4 linked regions of the Oryctolagus cuniculus genome follow. The protein of the gene in region 3 interacts with the protein of the main gene of each other region in a pairwise test. Links are inferred from orthologs where the notes say so. Each region holds a gene or a part of one and is shown on either strand. Other genes may lie near its edges.

Region 1 (3,560 bases), on a different chromosome or scaffold from region 3:
TTGAATGATGGTTCAGCTCAGAATGTGATTCCAGTTTGAAGGATTCCCACCTCCATTTTCTGAATTCTGGCCCATAAACCTGTAAAGACTGAAACATGTTGGTACCAGCACAGGAAGAGGAGAATAGATATGTAAAACAGCGGAGAATCCAGAACAAGAATACTTTATATATCATTATTTATTAAGGACAAAGCATTTTAAATCAATGTTTAGAAAAGCGTATTTAATAAATAGTATTGGTAAAATGTGCACTCATCTGGGAAACTGTACCATGAAATATCAGTATAATAGAGAGCTGCATAAGATTCCAAATAGATTTGAACTGAGAAGATGAAGGAGAATGTTTGTACAAGATGGTGTGACAAAAACTCACCACGAGCATCGTTAAAGCTTATGTAGCAAACAAGACATATTGCACGTAACCAAAGTTAGCTGTCACTGCAGTATTAGGAACCTTTATAATAATACATTAGAGGAAAATAATATAAAACAAGATATATAATATAAAGTTGTATATTACATAAATACATTTTAATAAAATAATACAATAATATATTAGAGGATAAAAGGGCAAAGTAAGCAAGTAGGCAATTCATAAATAAAAAAATACAAAGCAGATTTTTTTAGTCAACAACCTTACTACTCATTAAAGAAATGCTTAGTCATTTGTCCGATTAGCAAATATTAAAAATGATTTTTAGTGTCCCATGATATGAGAAAATAGGTAGTCTTTAAACCATTGTTCAGAGTATAAAATTTTAAATACTTTTGGAGAACATTATGTCAATATATATTAAAATTTTAAATGTGTATATGCTTTGGTTCAGCAGTTTCACTCCAAATTTATTGTAAGGAAGTACTTAGATATGCATCTAAAAATGTATTTCCATTTGCATTTAATATTGGCAAAGCAATTAGAAACAACCTAAATATTCATCAATAGGAGACTTCAAATAAGTAAATGATGTTATAGAACAGAGTGCTATACAGTTTTTAAATATTTGTAAAATTGTTTTAAATAAAAACCCAAAATGTAGATTATAAAATAGTTTATGTACTGATTATGTATGAAATACAGAAAATTACAAAATATAAAAAAGTCAAAGAATTTAGATCAAAATTCACTTATATGTTACATATTTTTAAACATTAATTTGTTTTTGAAATATACTTGTTTAAAATGTAAAAAGAAAAACTCAGGAAACTTAGGCATGCCAGCATGCCTTAAAAGAGAAGTGGATTCTAATTATTCTTAGGTGTTTAAATTTAACTGAAAATTGATCCCTGTTAAAAATAAGAGTGGGAATAAGAGAGGGAGGAGACGTACAGTTTGGCACAAGCTCACTCAGACTTACCCCTAATGGTAGAGCTAGAAACGTGCCATGGGACTCCAAATTCCATTAAGTTGGTAGGTACCAATGCCATCTTACTAGTTAAAGTGATCAGTTTAAGTTCATAATTGATCATAAAGATAGGATTAAGTGTCAAAGGGAACACATAAATAAGACCAGTGTCTGCTAATTATAATTGATAGAATTAAAAAAGAGAGAAGGACCCACCATGAGAAGCAGGATACACAGCAGACTCATAGAATGACAAAGGCCCTTAACAGCACTCTGGCCTCAGAATCAGCCCTTAAGACATTCAGATCCGGCTAAAAAGCCCATGAGAGTTTCTCAGGCATGGAAAGCCAAGACACTTTGGCAAAAAATGATCTAAATGAAAGATCTCTGTGAGTGAGATCCCAGGGGAAAGAGGGGGCCATCAAAGAAAGAGGTACCATTCTCTGAAGGGAAGGGAAAACTTTGACTTTGATTATGGCCTTGTCTAAATAAGGTCAGAGTTTGTGAACTCAAGAGGCTTCCATAGCCTTGGCAGCTCATGACAAGAGCATCGGGTGATTACTGATGTAATAAAGAAGAGTGTCAATTGTTAAATCAACAACAGGAGTGACTGTGCACTTGCTTCCCATGTAGGATCTCTGTCAATGTGTTATACTATGCAAATTAATGGTAAAACTAGTATTCAAACAGTACTTTATACTTTGTGTATCCATGTGGGTGCAGTCTGTTGAAATCTTTACTTAGTATAGAGTTGATCTTCTGTATATAAAGATAATTAAAATGAATTTCAACGAAGAATGGGATGGGAGAGGGAGTAGGAGATGGGATGGTTTGTGGGTGGGAGGGAGGTTATAGGGGGGAAAAACCGCTATAATCCAAAAGTTGCACTTTTAGAAAACTTTTATTTAATAAATATAAATTTCCAAAAAAAAAAGTGGATTCAGTATCCATAGATAACCCTGAAATGGGGAGACCTGAGAAGTTGTTGGTGTTGCTGATGTCACACCTGTAATGAGCACTGCTGGGTACAAGCCTCCAGGGCTCCAGATAATCACAGCGAAGCCTCCGCTGTCAGACTTGCTTGCTCTGAAGATGCACTTGCTAGGGGCTTTCTGTGATGTCACTGTGTCGTTTTCACCCTGGCCAGTCGGGGAGCTGGAATGCTGGTCATCGTCTGCTTTCGCCCCGCAGGCTCCCGGAGAGAAAGGTGTGGGTACCGCATAGTGCGGAGACGGAGAAGTTCCGGCGAGCTGCACTGCCCGAGCAGAGCCAGGAAGAACGGAGGCCCTGTGACGCGCGTCAAGGACGTGCTGCTGAGCGCCCTGAGCCCGGAACAGCTGGTGCTCACCCTGCTGGAGGCAGAGCCGCCCCACGTGCTGGTGAGCCGCCCCAGCTCGCCCTTCACCGAGACCTCCATGATGCTGTCCCTCACCAAGCTGGCCGACAAGGAATTGGTGCACATGATCGGCTGGGCCAAGAAAATCCCCGGTAGGCTCCCTGGGTGATTGTGTTCCATTTGTGGGAAGGCCTGCCCGATGTTTAGGGGCTGGGGGTACAAAGTGGAGGTCCCCGGGCTCTGTCCACATGTTTACAGCTTGCCGTCTTGATTCATAACTTGTAAATGAGGTTTGTTTTTTTCCTTCTGTCTTGACCCACATACCCTCAGGTGTCCTGGGAGGCAGTTTCTGACTCAGGAATCTTGAGGCTTCTGGGTTCTTCTATATTATGCATGGTAGTGCAGGAGGAGTTAGTTGTATGTGACCTGCCCTTTTCTTTCAAGATTGATTTATTTATTTGAAAGTCAGAGCTGCAAAGTGAGGGGGGTCGGAGAGAGAGATCTTCCATCCGCTGTCACTCCCCAGCTGGCACAATGGCCAGGCCAAAGTCAGGAGCTTCATCAGGGTCTCCCACATGGGTGGCAGGGGCCCAAACACTTGAGCCATCTTCTGCTTCTTTCTTCAGGCCATTAGCAGAGAGCTGGATTGAACGTGGTGGGGTAGCAGGACACGAACTGGTGCCCGAATGGGATGCTGGTGTCACAGGTGGTGGCTTTACCAGCTAACACCACAATGCCAGCCCCTAGCCCTTCCATTTCTATTCCTCACTCTTCTTTCCCCATCCCCAGATCCATCCGACACCACGGAGACACATGCTCCTCCTATGTGTCCACATCATCTGTTGGCCACTTCTGTGTCCACGTGTGGTATGGGAGGAGAC
Region 2 (4,261 bases), on a different chromosome or scaffold from region 3:
GCTGCCCACACGCCTGTCAGAACCGGGGCTCTCCCTGGGCAGCAGGGATGCACTGTGGCGCCTTGCTCTGGGAACACTGCCGGGCCTATTCCTTGGCACGGGACCGGCTGGGCAGGTTTGTAAGGCATGACACACGCAGACTCTCAGAGCGGCCCACGCCGCCAGTCTCGGCCAGCCTGCCCGCCCCCTCCTCCCCCGCTTTAAAGGTGGGACTTCCCAGGAGGTCTTGACGCGCCCCCACACCCCATGCCGCAGTTGCTTGCACCCCGCATGTCTGGGGACTCTCCAGGGAGCCTTCCCTGACCACGAGGACGCACAGGGAGGGCAGTCTCCCCTCCACACGCCCTCACCCTGTACCACTTCCCCAGTGGTCACAGCAGGCCAGAGAGTCCAGGCAGCCTCCCCGTGGCGCTGGTCTCCACCTTGGGCACCACTGCCCCAGAGCCTGATTACAGCGACCTGTGTCCTCTATCCACAAGGCCAAGGTTTGCGGCCCTTCCCTTCCTGGGTGTTAACCTGCACGCAGCCTGCCTTCTTGTGGGACGGCACAGCGCAGAGGTCTGGAAAGCCGTGCTGAGAAAACGCAGAGGCTGCAGATGCTGAGCAGGGAAACAGGAAGCGTGGGGCTGGCCCCGCCGTCCCCCGAATCCCCAGGGCAGAAGAGGAGCCGCAGGCCTCTGTCCCTGTGTGAGGTACAAGTGGGGCGCTAGCCCAGGGTGAAGGTAAGTCACCCCTGGGGCCTGTGCCACCCCAGCGACAGCATGGGGCTGGCTGTGACTCCCGCGAGCAGCCTGCAGCACTCGGCCCCCACGGGGAGGGCCCGCGCAGTCCAGTTGGTGTCCCTTGTCCTGGCTGAACCAGCACATAGCGCCGCTTCCAGTCTCAAAAGTGTCCCGGTTTGGAGGCTAAATCACAGTCACTCCAGCACACCCAGTATAGTAGGGCGGCAGCACGGGGAACAGGTACAGAGAGCAGAGCACAAATGGACGAAGGTCCTGGTTCAGCCACAGATGGAGAGCAGCGGGGGCCAGCCCACGGCCACCGCCTGTCCTCACTTCCCAAACCGGCTCATACAGGGACCATGGGAAGCCGGGCCCCGTCGGTCTCTGCCCAGCAATGGAGCAGCAGGAGTTCCGGGGGCCGGTCTCGGCCTGGACTCTCTCCCCATCTAGGATAATCACCTGGTCCAGGCCTTCCTCCCCTGGGCCGGAGGCTAGACACCTGCTCTCTCCCTGGGAGGAGCTGAGGCAGTCCTGTTGGAGCTTCCTCTGGAGCCGAGTGCAGAGGAGACCAGAGTGGCACCACTCGGAGAGCCGTGAGTACAAGCGACCGGGGCTCCCAAACACCACGCAGGCCCTCCACAGCAGCCTGGGCACACGGGCGGAGGAGAGGGGCCTGGCGGCTGCGTCTCTCTCCCATCTCTCCTCCAGCTCGGCAGGTCGCAGCTGATCAGGGCCGGACAGAGCCCAAACCCTGACCCCGGTCAGCGCACAGCCCGGGAACGCTGAGCTTCCCGCACTTTCGGTCAGCGCTGTGCCCGGCTGGCCTCCCAGGTCATTCTCCAGCAGCTCAAAGGAAGGCCCTAAGTGGCAGCCGTGGGCTCTGGGCCCCGGCTTCTGCTGGGGAGCCTCTCTGGATAAAGCTGCAGTCTCACTACCTTCTGGCTCGGCGGCTGGACAGCGAGGGGCCGAGGCTGGGCCCCTGCATGCGGCGCTGAGCTCACAGAGTCCAGAGCCCAGGGTGCAGAAGACCCACCCCCACCCCGGCCGGGCTCCCACCTCCCTGGCAGAGACACCATGGGGCGGGACGCGACTGCCCACCCTCGCAGAGGGCTGAGATGTGAATTTACACAAAGCCACATCTTTCACCACGAACCCCTTCTGGAACCAGCCCACAGCCAGCCCCAGGCTAGCTGTAGCTGGCCCCCTCCCACCCCCTGGCCGGCAGCAGAGGGCTGGAGCAGGACTGAACTCTGCCCAGCGCTTCTGCGGTGTTCGGGACATGCCTGCCCAGCTGCCTGCCAGGGCTGCGGCCCCTCTGGCTGCTCTGAGCACAGACAGGAGGCTGACTCACTGGCGCATGGAGGAGGAGGTGGTGAGGAAGGCGGGCCGCGGCTCCCGGCCGCTGGGGCAGACCCGGGAGGGAGAAGGAGCAGCTATCCGCCGCCCCCAGTCCCAGACCCTCCCTCTGCCGCTCCTCACCCCGGCTCCCCTCACTGCCCAGACCGAAGCTCCGCCCTGAGCCTCCGGGGCTCGGACGCCTGCCCGGAGCTCTCCTGGACGTCTGCGGACAGGCGCTCGCGAAAACAAACCAAACGCACCGGAACCCACTGAGGGTACTTAAAGAGAAGTCCCGAAAAGAAAAATACTTGGAAGACCTAGATCTACTATCGCAGGTGACCACACGTGGGCTCCGCAGACCGCGAGAGAGGCGGCACCGGGACCCTCCAGGTCCGCGCGCACGGCCGGGGCCCCACTCCCGCTCCCGCACCGCCGCACCGCCGCACCGCCCGCCGCCTGCGACTCCCCAGCCCTGCAGTCCCCCTGCGTCAGGTCTGAGGGTCCCGGAGCCCGCAGCTCGGTGCCAAGTATGCCCTGAGACAGGCTCCGGAGCCGGCACTGCGCTCAGACGCGGAGCGCCGACGCCCAGACGCCTGGACCCCCGCCCCGCCGCTCCCGGGTCCCACCTGTCCGTCCGGTGGGCTCGCGACTCGCGGTCCCGGAGCCTTCGCTCCGCGGCTGCCTTTTGACAAGCAGGAGGGGGCGGGGTGGGGGTGTCCGCCTGGCACCTGGCCCCGCCTCGCGCCCGGACCCGCCCTGCGCCCGCCCCCGCGGCTCCGCCCCGACTGGGTCGGCCACGCGCTGTGGCCGGTGGACTCAGCCTCGCGCGCCTTTGGCCGTCGGACCGCACCTCCGCCTGCCCGCCACTGTGGTGCTCGCGGCCCCCCTGGGCGGCCCACGCTCGCGTGGTCACCGCTCCCTGGCCGGCCTCAGCCTCCTGGCCCGAGGGCCAGATGCTCCCCAGACCTGCAGTAGTGCCGGAAACGCCCCTGCTGCTGCCCTGCTGCGGCCTGGGCTCTGGCTGGGTCGCCGGCAGCTGGTGGCCTCCATTAGGCACGGAGGAATGGGTCGATGGCGGTCTCAGAGGGGCTCGCTGAACAGGGGAACTGAGGCGGGGCGGCTGTGATTAGTCCCCAGCACCTGCTGCTCGCTGGGAGTGAGCAGCTGTCACCCCTGTCCTCTCCCTATCCAGGTCAGCGAGGACCCCTGGAGGAAGACCCTGGGGGGGGGGGGCACTTGTTCTTGGGGAAGAGCATCGGCCTGGGTTTGGTTGGATTTAGGAATAGACCCTCACCCCGGGAGCTGCAGCCTGGTGGCTGGAAATTGGAAAGACCCCCCCCCCCAGCATTCTCAGAACCCAGCAGCCTCTGAAGGGGGCGGGCCTGCTGGCACCTGGCAAACAGGGCAGGGCGCGAGCTCCCCAGACCGGCTGTGCCACCCCACAGCCCCGGGTCACAGCAGTGCGCAGTGCGCATTCTGTGCAGAGGTTCTAGTGTGTGGTGGGCTCCAGGGAGTTTCTTGTTGGGTCCTCGTCACAACCTCAGGTGGGTAGGACCTGCAGCGCCGACAAGCACTGGGAGTGACAGGCCACCCGCCCAGGCCCCCCCTCCCTGCCCTGTCGCCCACAGCTGTAGAGAACGCAGAGGCTCTGGGTTTGCAGACCTGCAAGGTCAGCTTTCTCTGGTCCCCAGCACTGTGGCCCCATGGCCGTGTCCAAAGTCAGGTTCTTCTCAGAGTCCCCCAGCTCCTGACTGACCTCTCCTCTCCCGGGTCCTGCCTGCCTGGCAGCTCCAGGGCTGTCTGTGGCAGGACCCGCGTGCCATGTGCCTGTGCTGGATGATGGCATGTCCTGGCTTTACTTGGAATGGGACTTTTTCTCCTTACAAGAATGGCCGTTCTGTGCAAGTGGGAAAGCCAGAGGGCATGCGCACCTCCACTCCTGCGTCCTGGTGCCCTCGCTGGTCGCCTCCTGCTCTCCCCTGCCCTGCCCGCCGGGAGCCTGGCGGCCGCCAGCACCCATGCACTGCAGAGCCGTGGCTGGCCGCTTTGGGTGGAGGGCTGTGAGCCCCGCACCAGAACCTCTGCAGGAAACACCCTTTCCCGTTTCTTGTGTCCTCCTGGGATGCTCAGATCACAGTTTGGGTCAGTGCTTGAGCTGTGTGCGAGATACTGGGCTGCAGGGCGCAGAAGCCAGGACGCCA
Region 3 (4,307 bases):
CACGACGGCGGCCTTCCTGCTGGCGAACTCCGACGCTGCCGTCGAAAGCCCAGCCACACCTGCCTCTTCCTCGCAAGACCCGAGTCGGTGCCGTAGGAGACCTACTTCCATCAGGTGCCCTGGTCAGTTCTGTACCGTCTGGCATGGGATGGCCAACCTCCACCTGAAGGCTCAGACCCACACGCCAGTCCTACAGGCCACACCTCCTGGTCTCACCTCTTACCTGCTCACCTCCTCTCTGTGCCCACAACAGCACACCCTCCCCCACCCCAGGGCCTTTGCACATGCACTTCAGCTGCCTGGCAAGCCCTTACCCTGGCTTCACGCCTGGCCAACTCCTACATGCTTTTCTCAAGACTCCTTTGTACGCCAGGCCTCTCTCTCCAGGCCTTATCACAATCTCCGATTATATATTAATTTATCTGGCAACTTGTTTGCAACTTGGTTCACCTTCCAGATTCAAGTTTCTGGAAGGCCAAGGACCTGGTCATAACTCCCCCACCAGGCTGGCCACGCCCACGGCCCCAAGGTCCCTGAGAAGTGTGTGAGCAGGAGGCGGGGTGGGGGGGCGCCCTCTTCCTTCTTTGTCGGGGAACCCCTGCTCCCTGCTCAGCTCAGGCACACCACCTCCTGGAAGCCTTCCAGTGCCTCCCACCACTCCCACTGTCAACCCCAACACAGTCCTGCTCAGCCTGGGTTCAGAGCTCCTAGTACACAGTAGGTGCTCAATACGGGGTGCCAGAACTTGCACTAGGCAGGTCTGGGGACACGCGGTCAGTGAGAACCAGGGAGATCCCCCAGGTCACAGTCAGGGAAGGAGCCCGAGCAGGAGCCAGGCTGAGCCCTGGGGAAAACTCGGGCTCCACGCAGGGCAGCGGGACAGGCAAGAGCGGGCTGGGGCCTCGCTTCCCGGGAGGATGGGCCCAAGCCCAGGAGCAGATAAGCCGCTCAGAGGAGAGAGGGTGCTCCTGGCAGACGGGGCAGGCAGTCAGCTGAGGGAGGCGACACGCTGTGGAAAGACCACATCACCAGAAGGGCCTCGTGGCTCCCAGCCCAGGGCTCGGCAGCGGCGTCTCTTCTGCCACTGTCGCGTGCCTGGCCCCACACGGGGCAGCGGCTGGAGAGGTTCAAGGGCAGCTGCCAACGGTGTGGCCCTGACCAAGTCACGTCCCCCCTCTGAGCCTCAGTTTCCCCGTCGGCACACCGAGGATCAACGAGAGGCGTTCACGCATCAGCCCATTTTCCATTTGCTAAGACTGAGGCCAGAGGGAGCCGTGGGTTGCCTGGGGTCACGCAGCTGCTGGGTGGCAGGGCGGCACGGGGCTGCTGCTCTCTCTAGGGGTCAGGAGGAGCCTTTCTGGGCCCCGGTCCATGCTCTTCTGAAGCCGGGAGCCCGCTCGGGTCAGCAGCCCAACTCCAAGTTCACCGAGCACCTACTGCGCGCCAAGCCCTGGATGCAGAAGCGCACAGGCCGGCCACCCTAGGAACCCGCTGCCCACGCAGGGATCGAGGGTCAGCCCCTTGGCCAGGCTCACCCAGCGAGTCAAGGCTAGGTGTCTGGACCCCAGCCTTGGGCAACAGCCCACCCTCCCAGCCTTAAAACCAAGTCCCCTCTCAGTCACAGGCAGGCGGGGCCTGGCCTCAGCCCAGGGGCCCCTGGGGGCCCAGGGCCCACGCTCCCCAAGGTGCAGAACCCAGTGAGGCACCGGAAACCCTGCCCAGGCCACACAGGTGAGCCCCTTCTATTCACCCCAATCTCCCCCCAGGCTGGGCAGCCCCAGCCAGACCCACCTGCCACTGATGAGGGCCCCAGCTCAGAGAGGGCTGGCAGCTGGGGGAGAACACACAGCAGAGCAAACAGTGGCCCCCATGGGCACTCACACCACCCCCAGCCCCTGCCCAGGCAGCCCACTGGAACAGGCCGGGTGGCGAAACCCCAAAACTTTTGTCAACTTCAAAGCCCACAGAGACTGGGCCTGCTCAGGGGTGAGGCTGGGGGCATCCAGCGCTGTCTGGCCCAGTCCCCTCCAGGCCAGCAGCACCAGGGCCTACCTGAGGCCCCAAGAGGGCAGCGGGGTCCCGATGGCCCGGACCGCAGCCCCCGACTGGCTCTGCCGGCCCCCATCTCCCACCGGGGCGCTGGGAGCCAGGCCGGCCAGCGGGGGCCAGAGGGACGCCGACGCGCTGATTTCAGATGTGGCCTAGACCTGGCCCCGGGGCCGGCCCGGCTCGCCCGCGTCTCGGGGATCCACAGGGAGAATGGAGCCCCCCGGGTCCCCGCGCAGACAGGACCCCGGCACCCCCGCCCGGCCCCCTCCCCGCGCCGCATCGCAACAAAAGGCCGCGCTGGGCACGGCCTCGCGCGTCCGCCCAGCTCTCGGGGGCCGCGGCTCGGCTGGGGGTGCGGACCTGGGGGGAGGCACAGGGGCCCCGGGCGGGAGATCGGACACCGGGGGAGGGGTCTCGAGGGGGGCTCCCCCGCCACGCCGCCGGACCGGGCCTGCGGAGGGCGGGTGCGCTCACCTGGGCCGCGGGCGGGCGCGCGGGCGCGCGGGCGGACGGACGGACGGACGTGCGAGGGCGGACCGCGGGGCCGGAGCGAGCGGGCGGGCTGACGGCGGCCTGGCCGCGCCGGCTCCCAGGCCGGAATGGAGTCCGGGCCCGGAGCGACCGAGAGAGAAAGGGAGGAGGCGGCGGCGGCCGGGAGGGGAAGGGGAGGGAGGGCGCGCGAGCGGGAGGAGGGGCCGGCGGGAGCCGGCAGGAGGAAGGAGGAAGCTTGCGGGGATGGCTTCCCCGCCGGTGACCCGGGAGGGACCCAGGCGCGGCCTGGCCAGGGTCCGGGCGGGGGCGGGGCCCGGGCCACAAGCCCCGCCCCGCCCTGAGAGCGCCCCCTCCCGCAGCCCCCGCACCCCGGCCCTCCGGTGGCCCCGATCCGCCTCTCCCGCTGTTGGCAATGTCTGCACTGACGCTGCGCTCGCAGCTCGCCCGGCACCCAGCTGAGTGGCTCAGTGCACCCTGGTGACCGATGGTTACCCCATTGCACAGATGAGAACACTGAGGCACTGGCAAGAACCCTGCCTTGACCTGCCAAGAGGGTGCTGGGGCGGGAGGGACGGTGCCGGGAGGAGCGGCGTCCACTTTTGCAGGTCCACTGCGTTCCTCTGAGAGGGGAAGCAGAGGCAAAGCCCAGTGGCCGACGTGCAGAGTTTGGCAAAACCTGGAGGCAGGTTCACCTCCCAGCGCCTGAAGAAGCCAAGACTTCTGGACCCAGCGGGGCAGCGGCAGAAAGTCGGGACTTGGAGGAAAAGGCTGGTTGAGGCCACAGAGACCCCCTGGCCACGGCTGCCTGCTAGGTGCTGGGGGGGAGGGGGGGTGCCCTTGGCTGCTCCTTGACCTCCTGCAGTCAGGGCAGGGGTCTGAGAACCCGGCCTGAACCAAGCTTGAAACACAGCACCTGCCTCTGCTTTCCTTCCTGGGAAGTTTTCTGGTTGCACGAGTAGGAAAGCAAGGCCCGGCCCGGCCAGAGCAGCACCAGAAAGCTGGGAGAAGCTCCCTAGAATGTGGCGGGCAGCGGCCTCGGGGTACCATGAGCCGGGAGCCAGGAGCCGCAGCTGATCTGGGTTCACAGCTGAGCAGGTTCAAGTTCATCAGCTACCCCAGCCTGTGGTGTGAGGTGGCCGGGGTTGCGCCTTACAAATGATAAACAGTGCAGAGGAGAAAGAGGCCGCCCGGGTCCCTGCGGAAGTCGTCGGCAGGGCTGGCAGCAGAAGCCCTCCCGGGCTGGTGAAATGGTTGCGCCTGTTTGCAAGGCTGGCTTAAAGATTAACCGCGGCTGCCCCGGACTCAGCCGGCTGGAGGAGCAGGTCCCTCGGCCCTCTGCACTCCTCAGACACGGATGTGTGTCTAAAGGCCATCGCTGGCCGCCCAGGAGGTGGGCTGTTCACCCGGGCTGGCCCCTCCTACCTCCGAGCGCTGTGATGTCACTGATGCCAGCCACACCGGGAGTGTTTACACCTGGGCCATCGGCAGACGCACAGACTGTGTTGTTCGATGTTTCCCAGCACAGCACTGCGTTCAGCCTCCGGAGTTCAACAGAAGGTTCTGGGCTTTTCGAGAGCTGAGATCCCAGCTTTAAAACACAGACTTTGGACCCAGAGACCTAGGTTCAAGTCTCAACTCTGTCGCTTCCTGGATGTGTGATGTTGATCATACCATTTATCTCTTAGCTTCCATATGCCAGCCTGAAAACTGGGTTCTCTCTGGGGCTGGCACTGTGGCGCAGTGTGTTAATGCCCTGGCCTGAAGCG
Region 4 (3,478 bases), on a different chromosome or scaffold from region 3:
GCCAGCGTTGTGCATCTGGGTCCGGTTCAGGGTCAGTCCATCCGAGAAGGTCATCGTGTCCTGCTCGGGCGTGTACCGCGTGCAGATCCGCAGGATCTGGAGGCCGAAGACGCACAGGTGTAGGGATCCAGCCCCAGCACTCCAGGCCCAGCGCACCCCAGACGACCACCAGGCAGGCAGCCAGAGTGGCGCTGTCCAACCAAGTTCTCTACCCTGATGGAAAGCATCGGGGTCGGCGCCATCCCCATCGGCAGCCAGCAGCCACAAGTGGCCGTGGAGTCCCTGCGATGCGGCACGGAATCGAGTTTGGTGTTAATTAACAGCCGCCCCGCCCGCGAGAGCAGCTGCGGGCCTTGGCGGTGCGGGCGGGCCTGGGAGTTTAAGGGAAGCCAGAGTTTGCAGGAGGTGCGGAGCGTGGCGGGTTGAGGGCTAGTTTCCAGGACGAGCCACATGGGAGCGGGTAGTGAATACATGCCTGCTTGACTGTGCCTCCTGCTTCTGGGGCCTGGGGCTGTGAGGCCCCCGTGCAGAACCCGAGACCTCCCACCCCACCAGCTCCTCCGCGGCACAGAAGGAAAACGTCAGACTGCTCAGATCCCAGGTTCCGCACCCAGAGGCGGCCGAGAGGGAACCAGCAGACTGAGGCCCGGTCGGGGCGACAGAGCAGAGTCCTCCTTCCAGCCTTGGTCCTGACAGTCTCCCTACTACCCCACATCCTGCCCTGCCTGTCCACATGCAGGGCTCCACCAACTACTCTGCCTTCCCCCGAGTCAGGCAGGTCTCACAGCAGCAGGCCGTGCGTCCATCTGTCCGCCTCCTGCACCCAAGTCAGGGACCCCCCGTGCCTCTCCTACAAACCCCTCGATACTTCCTCCTCCAGGACGCCTCCTCGGGGGCAGGCGGCCACGGCCTCCCCACCTCCACGCGACCTCTGCTCACGTATGTGTTGCCCCTGTCACACGGAAGCTTTCGGGAGGGGAGGTGGTGGCCAACACCCCAGTGTTCCCGACAGCCAGCAAGGTGCGCGGTGAATCTCACGACGCAGTGGGCGGATGGATGGAAGGGCCGTTGGACAGACGGGGTGAGGCCGGGAGACGCACGTGTGGGGGAGTGGGGAGGCTGTGCATAGCAGGACGCAAGCAGCCAAGCGGGGAGGTTAACTAACTACGGGGACGGGAAGAGGTGGGGCCCCAGGGCAGGCAGCAGCTGCATGGCTGGGAGGCCAGGGCACAGATCCTCACCAGGATGTCCAGGCAGGCAGCCTTGAGGAGGGTGATCTGGTCAGCGATGGTGAGGGTGGTGAAGCCGGGCAGCTGCTTGGCAAACTCCACGGTCTTGATGATGCACTTGGTGGAGAGTTCACTGAACTTGTCCCAGAGGTCGATGTCCAGGGAGACGCGCTGCTCTGAGCTGTTGTTCTGGGGGAGGGGGAGAGTGAGGCCCTCTGTGGACTTCCCCGCCCCCCACAGGTCCCCGCAGAGGGCGGTGGGGCCAGAGGAGGGGTGCCGTACCGTAGTGTACTTGCCCAGCTGGCAGAGGGCGGGGAAGGTCTCCTGGTGCGCTTTGCGCACTTTCTCGATGAGCTCCCCCACCTCCGGCGTCAGCGTGTAGCTCTCGGAGCACTCGGGCTTGGGCGCCTCCTTCTTCTTCTTGTTCCGGTCGTTCCGCACAGCTGTGGAGGGCAGGGGCCGGGCTGGAGGACAGCTGTGGCCACAGCCCGGCCCTGTCCAGAGCTCTTCCCACCAGACTGACACCCGCTGAGGAGGTCACGGCGCTGGCCATGCACACGCATACACGGTATACACACCACACACAGCCAGACGCCCCCACCCCCACCCGCCCCACATGCACACACCCACAGTCCTGCAGTGGCCTCGCACACTTGCCCCGTAGCCATTCCACACCCCAGGGACTCGAGGGCAGCGCCCTCCTCTGTGCCTGGTCTGCCCCCAGGTAGGATCTGCACCAGCCCTCCCGGCAGGAGTCCCTGGGGGCGCCTGGGATAGGCTAGGGAGTAGGGTCCCCCAGGATGAGAGTGGGGGCCCCGACAGGACAGTCTCTTGGCCCATTAGCCGGGGAGCTGACAAATCACCGGGGGCGCTGAGCCGCACACACCGCTCGGCTTTAAAGAAGCGATGGGGTCGTTACCAGCCGATTATCCCAGACACACAATCACTCACAGGGCCAGTGGTGGCGGCTGCTGACGAGGGAGGAAGGGAGGTGGGGGTGGGGGCCCGGGGAGGGGGTAGTGGGTGGGGGGGCGCTGGCATAATTTGGAGATCACTCATGTCGATTCTGCAAATTCAATAAAGTGAAGGGGAGAGAAGGGAGAGGGAGAGGGAGAGTGGGGGGATAATTTGGGAAGAGAAAATTGCAGCTGTGACAAGACGTTTATCATTCGGAAGCTTTAATTCTATTGAAATGGCAGCTGCTCAGCTCCGGGGCACAGAGCAGCCAGCCGGGAGAAGGGAAGGAGGGAGGGAAGGGGGGCTGTTGGTGGGAGGGAGAGAGGGTCCCCACCCTGATCCTGCTGCGATGAAAAGAGCGGAAGGGGGCGCAGAGGGAGGAGGAGGTGACGGCCTTAGGTGAAGGGTCCCGGGCCTGTGGGTCCCACGTTGTCACCCACTCTGCATCAGGAAGCCATGGCTTCCCGGGGGCAGGACAAGGCAACCGAGTCTCCTGTGGCAAGAGGAAGCAGGACACTGCAGGTCCCTCTGCTCCTGTCTGGGCTACTGCCTGTGATGTGAGTCAGAACCACTCTCCGCAGTGCCCCCTCCCCACCTCCCTCTTCACTACCCTCCCCACAAAGGGCTAGGGGGTCCTGCAGACCCCTCCCCCTTCTTCATCCCCCAAGGCTCAGGCTCCATGGCAACGGCCACGCAGACAAGGAGGCGTCTGTCAGCGTCATTTATCTCTGACATCATCAATCACTGGTCACCACGGCAACACCCATGATTCAACACAAGAGGGTCTCCCTGTCCAGCCCTTCCCTCCCTTCCTCCCTCCCTCAGGCCTCAGCTGAGCCCAAACGGAAGACCCCATTTCTCTGGGACCTGAGAAGTCCCAATTCTGTCTTCAAACTCCAGATCTTCAGCTTCACCACATCCTGGCTTTTCAATCCTTATGCAAAGCCCTCCAAACCCACCCAGCACCCCTCGGATCCCAGGCCTCTCCCCTAAGACACACGCTCGGAAAGGACTCAGGGAACCCTGGGAGCAAAAACACACACACGCACATGCAAGGACACACAGCCAGTCGCACATGCACACTGGACCTGCACACACACACAGCCAGCCAGAATCTCACAGGTCCCTGCAGCTTTAGCCACACGCCCCAGCACGCATGCTCAGACACACGTGCACACACAGCCACAGGGCCCAACGGCCCGGCCTGCAGGAGCACCACGGGCCCCACCCACGGCCAGTCCGGCCTCCGCCCGTGGCACTCACACTCCTTGGACATGCCCACTTCGAAGCAC

The links.
Region 1: the proteins of SRC (region 3) and ESR2 interact in a two-hybrid assay, tested with the Homo sapiens proteins (2 studies listed by BioGRID). The link is inferred for Oryctolagus cuniculus from reciprocal best matches to the Homo sapiens genes SRC and ESR2.
Region 2: the proteins of SRC (region 3) and VDR interact in a two-hybrid assay, tested with the Homo sapiens proteins (2 studies listed by BioGRID). The link is inferred for Oryctolagus cuniculus from reciprocal best matches to the Homo sapiens genes SRC and VDR.
Region 4: the proteins of SRC (region 3) and RARA interact in a two-hybrid assay, tested with the Homo sapiens proteins (2 studies listed by BioGRID). The link is inferred for Oryctolagus cuniculus from reciprocal best matches to the Homo sapiens genes SRC and RARA.

What each region holds. Positions count from the first base shown.
Region 1 is NC_091451.1:6,196,634-6,200,193, forward strand, and holds part of ESR2 (estrogen receptor beta), read left to right. Parts: intron 1-2,534; coding exon 2,535-2,831; intron 2,832-3,560.
Region 2 is NC_091440.1:137,519,043-137,523,303, forward strand, and holds the start of VDR (vitamin D3 receptor), read right to left. Parts: upstream 2,803-4,261; 5' UTR 2,687-2,802; intron 1-2,686.
Region 3 is NC_091442.1:21,212,488-21,216,794, forward strand, and holds the start of SRC (proto-oncogene tyrosine-protein kinase Src), read right to left. Parts: upstream 2,849-4,307; 5' UTR 2,524-2,848; intron 2,073-2,523; exon of another isoform or gene 2,053-2,072; intron 1-2,052. UniProt on the Homo sapiens protein: Non-receptor protein tyrosine kinase which is activated following engagement of many different classes of cellular receptors including immune response receptors, integrins and other adhesion receptors, receptor protein tyrosine kinases, G protein-coupled receptors as well as cytokine receptors.
Region 4 is NC_091448.1:22,122,798-22,126,275, forward strand, and holds part of RARA (retinoic acid receptor alpha), read right to left. Parts: coding exon 3,450-3,478; intron 1,673-3,449; coding exon 1,512-1,672; intron 1,419-1,511; coding exon 1,242-1,418; intron 97-1,241; coding exon 1-96. UniProt on the Homo sapiens protein: Receptor for retinoic acid. Retinoic acid receptors bind as heterodimers to their target response elements in response to their ligands, all-trans or 9-cis retinoic acid, and regulate gene expression in various biological processes.